Lepisosteus oculatus: one gene and its partners. The protein of the gene in region 3 interacts with the protein of the main gene of each other region in a pairwise test. Links are inferred from orthologs where the notes say so. Each region holds a gene or a part of one and is shown on either strand. Other genes may lie near its edges.

Region 1 (3,749 bases), on a different chromosome or scaffold from region 3:
CATCCATCTATCTTCTAACTGCTTGATCCAGTTCGGGGGGGCGGCGGAGCCAGAGCCCATCCTGCAAGCAAAGAGCACAAGGTGGGATACACTCTGGACGGGATGCCTGTCCATCGCAGGGCAAACACAAACACACAGACACACACGCACACAATCACTCACACCAGGGACAATTTTCCCAGAAGTCAATTAACCTATCAGCATGTCTTTGGACTGCCGGAAGAAAACAGCACCCAGAGGACACCCACATGATCACGGGACGCACGTACAAACTCCAGGCAGACAGCATCCCAAGAATTGAACCCAGAGCCCTGTTGCCGAGAGGCAACAATGCTAACCACTATACCACACTACCTATAAAACAAAAAGCACCTTACAACAACCAGCAAATGCTGTACAAAAACTGCCAGCTCGCTAAAGGGAATGAGGGAAGAGAGATGAGTGTAAGGCCGTCTCGTACGTGATCTCCTGGTCTGTGAAGAGGAACTCCTTGAGCATCTTCTCTTTGTTGAAACTCAGGTCAGAGCACACGGGCAGCACGTTCTCGAGGAACCTCTCCACGGTCCCAGACGTCTCCCTCCCGGCTTCTCCCGCAAGCACTTTGGCTTTGTATTCGTCCGCAAAGACCACCGCAGCCGTGTCCGAGTCGAAGCCGAGCTGGAACATCAGCAGTTTCCCCTGGTCCTTCAGTTCACTCTGGGAGAACGGAGGGATAAACCAGAAAGAATAGAAAAACAGGTCATGAAGGTGCAGCTGCAAAGAAAATTCTGATGTCAGTATTGAGGCTCAGAAAACATGCTCTCAAGAAGGCAGAAATTAAACTTTACCTTCTTCGGCACCTTTCCACGACATCAAACCATGAAACGTTTATGCTATAATGCTGGAAGAGAGAGCTTTCTGGACTCTGATCTATCCTAAACTCACCTGCACTTCCAGCAAGCTTTTACCTGCCAGGGTATCTTGGCGTAGCAAGAATCAACTATTGCATATATCCAGGCTCGTTAGAATGATATCACATCACAATATCTGAAGAAAAAGTACAAACACAACTTTCCTCTGACAAAATACTACCCTGTTTTTTTTAGTTCTTACAAATCACATTTCTTTTATTCTTAGAAGTCTCTTTTGAGTGAGGGAAGTGTTACCAGCTGCCGGTCCACAAGTGTCCTGTCTCTATGAATACTGTAGAGCTGGTGTTTCATCACTATGGGCGGCAGGGTGTCATTAAACAGCTTTCGAGGAAACAGAGACATCAAGTTCTCCAGGGCTGCCATAATGTCCAGAGGTCCCTCTGCAGCTGGAATAACACAATCAAGGAGCTGATAGGATCCCACTTAATCTTGGCAAAATAATGTAATATAGCTTTGTTTTCAGTTTGTCACCACTCACACAAGCCAATTTAAAACACCTACAAGCCTTTCTATCCCCATCTACAAATCTAAGAAGCACTGACAATGTGATCACAACTTCTATAAGGAAGTTGCAATGGAAATCTGCAGTCTAGGAAAGAGAAAGCTGAACTGTTGCAGAAAAGTCCCCAAAACGGAGTTACCTGGGGTCTGGAGTATAAAGGGCTAGTCCAATAACTATCCATCATTTTGCACTCTCTGTCATTTTGTTTTATCAAACTTGTGTCATTTGTCACTTCTGTTTCAGAAAGAAATAATTTACTGGATTTAATTATTCAGTCATGGTACAAAAGAGTATCATTTGGCAACCATAAAGTCTTTTAAAAAAAAGTTTAAAAAAAAGTTAAAAAAAGCTCAGACTAATAAAATTGAAATAATTCGTAATTCAATACCTTGGGATATTGACGTTTTGCCATTTTCTTGTAGTCCACGCTCTGTCTCGGATCTCCTCTTCTTAGCTCTGAAGGTGTCCGATATCAATGTCCTTTTTCTGTTCATCGCTGCGGAACGGACACATCAATATCGACAACCTCTCCGATGCTCGCCTTTATTAATGCACCGCAATCAGGTCGAGGAAGTCTTGTGCTCACTTATTTTACGCAGAGATACATCAGTGCATAACCTGTAATTTACTTATTCCAATAATGAAGGGGTTCCTGGACTGGAGTAAAAACGTATACATTAGAACTGTTTTATTCAAAACGGTGGTGCAGAAGCCAGGACTCCATACAAGACGCCTACGCTTGAGGTGAAATCGGTTTATTTTCTTGGGAGGAAGTTAGTTATCGAAATCGGTTTATAAACATAAACCTGGTAATTTAAATCCCAGATCAATTCAGTAAACTAACCGTCAGCAACCTAAAGCCAAATATCAGAGGGTAATGTCTAATTTTATCTTTCAATAACACAACAAAAACAACCACTATTCCAAAACTACAAAAAAAAAGTTATTTCTTTGCCAGCTGGGCACTCTGTGTCGACTGGTTGTGACGCAATGTTTCGTCGCAGGACAATGACGTAGAACAAAGCCGCCATTTGAACACTGTGTACGCAGGTATGGCGGCTCAGTTGCTGAATTTAAAATAAGGTACTGCAATTCCTTTTTCACATTCTACATTGAACTGTACACCTGGTGTGACTGCTTTGGGTGCCTGGGAGTATCCATGTATGTTTTTGTAATGTCTGTTTTCTCTTGCAAAGAATTGAATTGCGCCATTGCGTTCGTGGATCAGGTTATAATGATTTGAACATGTAAGAGATGGGGGTCGCAGGAGTGATAATATAGCTGTCTTATAACAGTGCGTAATGTGTGTACGTAGTGGGACAACAATGAAACGCTCCTACAGATGATTAACTATTGGAATTTACGGACGTTGGCGAGTGAACGTTGCTCTACTTGTTAGTCCCTCTCTAACGTGCGCAAGGAAGCTCCTGGCATGCGATCTGAATGTGGGCGAGCCTGGAGATTTTACACTTTGTCACCGCAGCAGAAAAGAATCGAAACCAGCAGGTTCGTGTGCCGATAGGAAACAGGCTACAGGTCTTTTAGCCGCAAAGGCATGACAGGAGATACGTTTATTCAAAGTTAAAGCCTTGCGGGGAAAAAAAATACGTGTTAATATGTAGCTTGTTTTTTTTTTTTGGGATCGAAGCAGAAGACGATGGACCGTCGCCACAGCCCGTGTGGCCACCGGGGGTCAGCCGGTGTCCGGTCTGAGCACAAGCGCAGCAGGGAAGAGAGGAGCGGGGGCGGCGAGGACAGCAAGAGAGGCAGTTCCAGCCGCGGAGAGAGAAGCTCCCCCGGCTCCCCTCCTCCCCGGGTGCTGAGCGTGCGGAGGCAGCTGTACGACAGAGACTTCCCGCTGTACAAGCAGCCGGTGGAGGTGGGGCATTTCTCCCTGGACGCCAAGCGCAGGTTTTTCAGCGACGCCAGGCAGCTGAGGTATTACGTGCAGCCGGAGCGCTGCCCCAACTTCGACCTGAGAGACGGCTACCGGGACCGCTACGTGAAGAGGGACGAGGCCGTTAAAGAGGGACTGGATCACCTTCTCCGGTGGATCCTGGCGAACAGATCGAAGCTCCGGGGGACCCCGGACCAAGGTGGCACGGCGTCGCCTGCTTTCAATAGGTAGGGCTGGCCGGACGCCTGAGCACGCTGTGCTTTTGCATGTTTCCCGCCCCTCTGTCAAAGCGAGCTGCGCTTCCTGTTGCAAGTACATGAAGAGCAGGGGTATGACGGGGAGGGGTGAATTCTGCTGCTCTTGCACATCACTAGGGGCAGATACTCCAGGACTGGTGTACTGGAGGCTGCCGCTGAGGTAGTTAACAGCACTCGTTTCT
Region 2 (3,749 bases), on a different chromosome or scaffold from region 3:
GGGTACAGGTTCCAGGAGAGACTGTACTGGAGGGGTACAGATTCCAGGAGAGACTGTACTGGAGGGGTACAGATTCCCAGAGAGACTGTATTAGAGGGGTACAGATTCCAGGAGAGACTGTATTAGAGGGGTACAGATTCCAGGAGAGACTGTACTGGAGGGGTACAGATTCCCAGAGAGACTGTACTGGAGGGGTACAGATTCCAGGAGAGACTGTATTAGAGGGGTACAGATTCCCAGAGAGACTGTACTGGAGGGGTACAGATTCCCAGAGAGACTGTATTAGAGGGGTACAGATTCCCAGAGAGACTGTATTAGAGGGGTACAGATTCCCAGAGAGACTGTACTGGAGGGGTACAGATTCCCGGAGAGACTGTACTGGAGGGGTACAGATTCCCAGAGAGACTGTATTAGAGGGGTACAGATTCCAGGAGAGACTGTACTGGAGGGGTACAGATTGAGTACAGGGGTACAGGGGGACCGAACTGGACCCGACACCAGCTGTGTGTACGTCCACCTTTATTTTGATGTCCGACACAAACCAGACATTAAAATAAAAGCCGGCGGGTCAGAGAAATACCCAGACGTCGCCGCACTCACCGGTCTGCCGTCCTTTCAGACGTTTCTCATCCTGGTGACACCGCAGACCCAAGCAGCACAGGTCAGAAACAGAAATATAATATAGATCTAGTCCCCTGAAACAATTTTCTGCGTTTTCCTGGCCGGACTGAAATCACGGGAGCACCGCAGTCCGCGAGACGCCACGACCTGGACACGTGACACCCCACGTGGTGCTGAAGCAGGAGAGCAGATTTTCACAATGAACAAACAAAAACTCTTATTTCTTGCAGCTGTTGTAGCGAAACAGATACTTTTTTTCCCCCCTGTGAATTGTACTTTCTGAATTGCACTTATTTGGAGTTGCACATCAAATGAAACAGCGGGATCCGTTTGTTCAGCGCGGATAAATTCAGGCAGCATCACCAAAATACCCGTTTTAATATTGTTGGCTAAAGTCGAACTCGAAAACAACTGTCCAAGATCTAAGATAAATTAGATGACTTAGAGCAACAAAAAAAATATTTATGTTTCACCTAAATACACGAACACGTATTAAGCTGTTATCATGGCGCGCTTGTAGTGTATATAGAAATGGGTATGACATATTTCACTGAAACAAGAATTAAACTCTCCCTTATATGTTTATATCATTTTAATTCACAGCTCGTGAAGCGCGTCGGTTAAACGGTGCTCCCCGCGGCTGCTGCAGAGCCGGGGAGAAGTGCGTGTTCTGTAAGGTGTGTGTTACACCGCTAGATGGCGTGCGCGGCCTCTCCAGGCAACAGGTGAAGGCCGATTCCACGCTGAAAGGAAAAGCGTGAACTCCTAACTCTCGAGCTGCTGTACTGCTGTTCCGAAACGGCGCCGAGGTGTCGAAACGTGGCTAAAAGTTCGTCCATTCCTCCCGTTTCTAACGGATGCATCCGATTCAGGGTGGCGGCGGAGAGATGAGCGCCAGGCAGGGCCCACCAGACCCCTGCACACTCACACACACACTCACACACACGCACACACACAATCACACACGCACAATCACACGCACACGCACACTCACACACACTCACACTCTCACACTCACACACGCACACAATCAGACTCACACTCTCACACTCACACACGCACACAATCACACTCACACTCACACACACACTCTCACACTCACACACGCACACAATCACACTCACACTCTCACACTCACACACGCACACAATCACACACACACTCTCACACTCACACACGCACACAATCACACTCACACACACACTCGCTCGCACACACACTCACACGCACAATCACACGCACACTCACACACACACTCACTTGCACACACTCGCACACTCAGACTCACACACACGCACAATCACACACACACACGCGCACACACACACTCACACACTCTCACACACACCAGGAGTTTCCCAGGAGCGTATTAACCTGCCAGCGTGTCTGCAGTGGGGCACTGACACCCCACACGAACACGGGGATCGCAATGGTGCTGACTGGAGCAGTGGCAGAAGAGGCAGAAACGTAGCAGCAGCAGCACTAGTAGTAGCTGCTGTAGTGGTTAAGAGGTAATAGCAGGAGTAGGAGCACTAGTAGCGACTGTAGTAGTTGAGAGGTAGTAGTACAATAGTACCAGCAGTAGCAGCACTAGTAATAGCTGTACCAGCAGTAGCGGTAGCAGTAGCGGTATTTACAATCAGATCGCGATCATATGATCCCTGTACCCGCGGGCCAGGTGTGGACCTCCCGGTCTTCCCGTCCCCTTCCCGTGTGATCCCGCTGTGGATTCCTGCCGTCTGTCACTCCGAAGACGCGCTCGCTCATTTTCTGGTGCATTCACAGATGGTGATTGTTCTGGGCACTGATTTTAATACTTCGGGGTGTAAGAATGACGCACAGAACTGCTCTGTGTAAGGGGCACTGCGGTTCTGCGTGCTCTCCCGAGCCCAGCACCGTGAAGCGCTCTCACTCGCGCTGCCGTGTGTTCGTGCCCGCTCTGCTCCAGGAGGGCTCCGGCCTCGGTTCGATCGCAAACTCGGCGTCACCGAGACCCCCGCCTTGCTGCCGAGCCCACTCGCCCCTGCCCGCGAGTATATCGTCAGATGACGCGGGCTGGTCTATATAAGCTGCGGCTGCCGCTCTGTGGTCTATAACGCCTTGTCTGGCAAGCGCTCGCCGGTCCTGCTCTCTGAGCTATGGAGGCACTCGCGGGCGCTGGGCTGGCGACCGGGGCTTGGTGCTTGACGGTTCGTTAGTCCTGCCGTTGCATGCAGCCGGTCCCTGCGCCCGCACTTCGTCTTCAGCTTGAGAAGTTGACAGGATCGCTCAGGGCTGTGGCGCGCAGAGATGGACGGCGCGCCCGGCTTCGCTGGCGACCCGCGCACGAATTCGTCCGAGCTGGACCGCTGGAGTCTCCCTCTGGCCGACCGCGGGGGCAACTCCTCCTCCACCCGGGGCCCCTTCTACAACCGGCAGGTCCGAATCATATCGATGTCCGTCATTTTCGCCGTGGCGTTCCTGGGCAACTCCATCGTGCTCCACAAGATCTGCTGCGGCCGGAGCAAGCGGCGGAAAATAGACGCCCTCATCACCAACCTGGCCGTGGCCGACCTCTGCGTCTCCGTGCTCACCCTGCTGTCCCAGATCGTCTGGGAGGTGCTGGAGGACAGGTGGGTGGCCGGGGACCTGGCCTGCCGGCTGTTTAAGGTGCTGCAGGTGTTCGGGCTGATCGCCTCGTCCAACATCATCGCCATCATCGCGCTGGAGCGGCACCACGTCATAGTGCGCCCCCTGGCGTCGCCCCTGCCGACCAAGCTCCTGGCGACCGTGGGCTGGCTGGCGGCGCTGGTCCTGGCGCTGCCCCAGGCTTTCGTCTTCAAGGTGCAGCCGGACAGAAGCCCCCACAGCAAGTGCCTCAACACCTTCTCCGACCTGCCCCGCTGGCACTTCCAGGCCTACATCGTGTACGGCTCGGTCACCGTGTTCTTCGCCCCGTTCTGCGTCCTGTGTGTGGCGTACGCTCGCATCCTGTGGACTGTGTGGAGCAGGGACACGCGGGCCAGCGGCACGGCCCACGGGCTCCTGAGCCGCAAGCCCCGGCACCGGAAACGACCGCTGCGCGTGACGGCCGCCAACAGCGCGATCCCCCGCGCCAAGATCAAGACCCTCAAGATGACGCTGGTGAT
Region 3 (3,749 bases):
GGACCTCAGACGCTACCTTGTGCAGGTGGTTGATCATATGGGAAGGGGTCAGCTCTCGTCCACTCTCCTGGTTGGCCAGGTACTGCAGAACTTCCTTTGCACACATGTGAAAACCAGACCGGAACATTTCCTCGCTCACGTCAGGGCTGTGAGCTGGATGGTCACCTTAAAAAAAAAAAAAGAAAAAAAGAAGGAACTTCTAATTAATCATCCTGACCGTCACAGAATAGTTGCACTGGAACTTAATTTCAATACAAGATGCTCGCAGACATCCCGTATTAAAAGGTTATTCACTAAGTTACTGCACTACTCAGTAAATAAACATTTAATTTTTATGTTGGGATTTTGCTACTGAAAAGCTATTTCGAGTTCTGAGAAAAGACATAACATTTCATCTTGCAGAAAATGTCTAATGGAATAGAATGTTTCAAGGGAATTTTGCCATTCAGACATGACGTTTTGAATGATACGCACAGGCTTATATTTACATATTATTCCTGATTTAGCAGCTTAGAAATGTCACATGCAATCGCCCTTTGCAAAGACTCCTTTCAATAAACGTAATAAAATCAAAAGCCAAAAACGTATGCTGTTATCTATTAATCTATGCATTTACATTTGAAGTTGCACATTACTTACCGACTTGCAATCCATTCTGTAGTGCGATGATTTTTTGCTGCTGTTGTTCTAAGAGGCTAGTGAGGGCTTTCACGTGCTTTAGGGTCAGCTCCAGAACCACCGCCTTTTCCAAATGGCCCAAAGTCTGTAAATAAAAAAAGTCTGATAAGCACGCAGATAACTTATGTAACAAACTGTGGCTGACAAACCTGTGATCATCAAAAGCAGTTTAAGAATAACGTGATAGAATGAACAAGAGCTTTGAAATATCAAATAAGTAAAAATACGAATCCCTCTAACTATAAATCGTACAATATTTGTAACGCATCAACAAAGTGCATACAATTACGCGTTACAATTGTTAAAGGATGGGCACCGAACGGTAATTTTAAAAGAAGCATTTTTATCAACAAGTTAAAACTTAATTAAAAAGCCTTTGAATATCAAAGATTCCCGTGTTTATATTGTTTCCACATAACCATATTTTCAAGTGATATTAACACAATTACCGTACCTATAATCACTTCATATCCGATCAAAAAATATACTAGAATTTTTATTTTCAAATACGCCATTTGGCACCTATGATCCTATCCTGTGGAACTTTTCGGTACTTTCGGTACAACTGCAGAAGCTATGTAATGTCAAGGCGAATGAATAAATCGAAGAAAGGCTTTGATCCATTCCCTTGATAATTTCCCATGTAAAGTCAGCTGCCCTTCAAGAAAACCCTACGCCAACAAGCAGATGGCGCTTTATACCACAGTTGATTTCTATTTAAAAGAATTGACTTTATTCCAAATTCTAACTTACAGTAAGTTTAAGGTGCTCTGGCAACAAATCCTTAAGTTGAGCAATGCATTCATTAATTCTGTCACGCCTTTTCTTTTCAATGAGTCTATGGGGCAACTTGTAAGTTTCCTAGAGAAAAAAAAAATCAACAGTTAGGTTCTTGTTCAAGTATGCACGTTTAAGTACACTATGTAAAGTTTACATAGTTTAATTTAAAATTATATTTACGTTATTGCATTTTTAGCCCATTAAATACATACATATATGGTATAAGCATACATCAAAATAATGATATATGCCTCGATTAAATACATGTTTAACTTACAAAAACAGCTTTCAAATGACATATAAAAGATCCACCAGAAAGGTATTTCAAATTGTAATCAAGAAGAGAGAGCGTTTCGTACCTTGCTGTCTTCCCCTCGCTTTATTCCCCTTCTGGGCTTGTACACGTACATGGGGAAATCCATTCTACAAGCAATATGAAAACGGGGGAAAATAAGATGTCTGCATTTGAAGAACGGCTAACTTTATCAAACTTGCACGAATTGCGCGACACACAGAAGAAGAGACAAACTGCAGACTGGAAAATGCACAAACCAGCTGTTAATAGACACGTACATACCCTTGCATGTCAGGGATTTCCAACGATGTGTGTTTTGTCATGCAAGGGGGTGGCTGCGCAGCTGTGATCCTTTCCATTTTCTTTTCTGACGACGAAACCAACGTGAAACAAGGTACGATAGTCAAAAGTTTTTTTTTTTCGTTTCTCCCGTTCAGTCGCAAAACTGAATATGAAAAGTGTATATGATTTAGTAAAAAAAAATCAAAAGACCGCTCTTGCTCTGACGTTTTGTTTTTTCTTCTTCAGATTTTGCGAGCTGCTTATTGTTCTACGCTTTACTTTTCATCATCCACGATGTCTCTTGAAAAGCAGAACGACAGCGCTCACGACGTTATCACCCAGCGATCCAAAGCGCAGTCGGCTGTAGTTTGAAGCTGCAGGCTGGGTTAAATGTATGGGAGTGGGTGGATTGGGCTACGTGTTAAATAAACCCTGTGACTACAGACACGTCTCTAGCTCAGTAACTGACCTACCTCCGTCACATGAGCCTCACGTGTTGGACAGCACTTTCAACTGAACTACGAACAACCCTTTTTTTTTTCCTTGTTAAGGAGGATCTGCACGAAAACGTTACGCCCCCGTCACACTTCTGTGTCCCGTGTACCACCATGCTCCACTTAAGTGTGCTACAAAGCAGCATCCCCGGAGCATCAAAGACTTTTCATTACAGATGAGGTTTTCGGCATTGTAGAAATCGGGGAGGGTAGAGTACCCGATTTTAAAAGGGAATCGATTAATCTTGCATGCTGCTATGTAATGTTGAAATCATATAAAAGAATATTAAAATCGGTAAACATGACACTACTTATATTCTTTCCAAAAATGAGAAACCTCGACCTCACCCCGTGCCTTTGAAGTGTCGCGATTATTTTCAAATTTTATCAACTACATGTCGAACATAGTACATTTTTCCAATGGCTATGTCGCTACTCCGCATTTTTAATTAAAATCTCTGTGTGGATTTCTGACTCGTGGAGGTTTTCTTATACCAACGCTGATGTTATTCACGGCAATCTGAATAGAGCTTGTCATGTTACCAATAATCAGCGACGCCACGTTTTTAGGATTTCCTAGGTATGCACGATATAATTCTGACAAGGCTGTGCCAACCTTGAACCACGGAATGTCTTCTGCATAGTTAGTTCACCTCTAAATCGTGCTTGACAAAATTTTTAAAATTACAATGCTATTAACTAATATTAAGTACCGTGACCACAGTGCAGTGCAGACAGCATTACTAAAGTTAACTGATCTGTGACGCAAGATTTTGGACTCCTAGTCTTAGCGCAATACGAATTCCTGCTACAAACGTGAATACCAGGCAATTCATTTAGCAGCTGTGCGGGTCTTTTAAGGTTACTGAAGACTAGCATGATCAGAGATGTTCATTTCATTTTGAAGCTTCGGGTTAAGACAGTTGCGCTTTTTATATATGCAAAATGATATGTAACCACATACGGCTATGCTTGCATTGCGTGAAGATCTAATCCTTTCGGCTGAAGTGAGCTCTGTATACCGTTCTCTTTTACCTTAGTGTTCTGTTGTCGACAGCCATTTACAACATTCAAGTCGATGTGAATTCGCCATTAAAATAACTAGTTGTATATTATTCTGAAATGGAAAAAATATAAGCAGAAAATCCCGTATAATGCATTATTATGTTTACTCCCTTGTTGGTTTGTCTCGAAACCGTACTTAGAATAATTTATCGGTT

Evidence for each region.
Region 1: the proteins of bhlhe40 (region 3) and inactive serine/threonine-protein kinase 19 interact in a two-hybrid assay, tested with the Homo sapiens proteins (2 studies listed by BioGRID). The two-hybrid records come from large-scale screens. The link is inferred for Lepisosteus oculatus from reciprocal best matches to the Homo sapiens genes BHLHE40 and WHR1.
Region 2: the proteins of bhlhe40 (region 3) and rhobtb3 interact in binary tests that used the Homo sapiens proteins (3 or more experiments, as listed by UniProt). The two-hybrid records come from large-scale screens. The link is inferred for Lepisosteus oculatus from reciprocal best matches to the Homo sapiens genes BHLHE40 and RHOBTB3.

Annotation. Positions count from the first base shown.
Region 1 is NC_090714.1:16,457,630-16,461,378, forward strand, and holds the start of inactive serine/threonine-protein kinase 19, read right to left. Parts: upstream 2,404-3,749; 5' UTR 1,908-2,403; coding exon 1,802-1,907; intron 1,298-1,801; coding exon 1,146-1,297; intron 697-1,145; coding exon 461-696; intron 1-460. Other genes in the region: dxo (decapping and exoribonuclease protein), read left to right, coding at 2,857-2,919, 3,062-3,537. UniProt on the Homo sapiens protein: DNA-binding protein which is required for efficient transcription-coupled nucleotide excision repair (TC-NER). Acts as part of a TC-NER complex which assembles and interacts with RNA polymerase II (RNAPII) when it stalls at DNA lesions.
Region 2 is NC_090698.1:74,236,132-74,239,880, reverse strand, and holds the start of rhobtb3 (rho-related BTB domain-containing protein 3), read right to left. Parts: upstream 2,345-3,749; 5' UTR 2,259-2,344; intron 1,289-2,258; exon of another isoform or gene 601-1,288; intron 1-600. Other genes in the region: probable G-protein coupled receptor 150, read left to right, coding at 2,911-3,749. UniProt on the Homo sapiens protein: Rab9-regulated ATPase required for endosome to Golgi transport. Involved in transport vesicle docking at the Golgi complex, possibly by participating in release M6PRBP1/TIP47 from vesicles to permit their efficient docking and fusion at the Golgi.
Region 3 is NC_090699.1:54,736,860-54,740,608, forward strand, and holds the start of bhlhe40 (class E basic helix-loop-helix protein 40), read right to left. Parts: upstream 2,536-3,749; 5' UTR 2,113-2,535; coding exon 2,036-2,112; intron 1,882-2,035; coding exon 1,818-1,881; intron 1,540-1,817; coding exon 1,432-1,539; intron 764-1,431; coding exon 640-763; intron 166-639; coding exon 1-165. UniProt on the Homo sapiens protein: Transcriptional repressor involved in the regulation of the circadian rhythm by negatively regulating the activity of the clock genes and clock-controlled genes.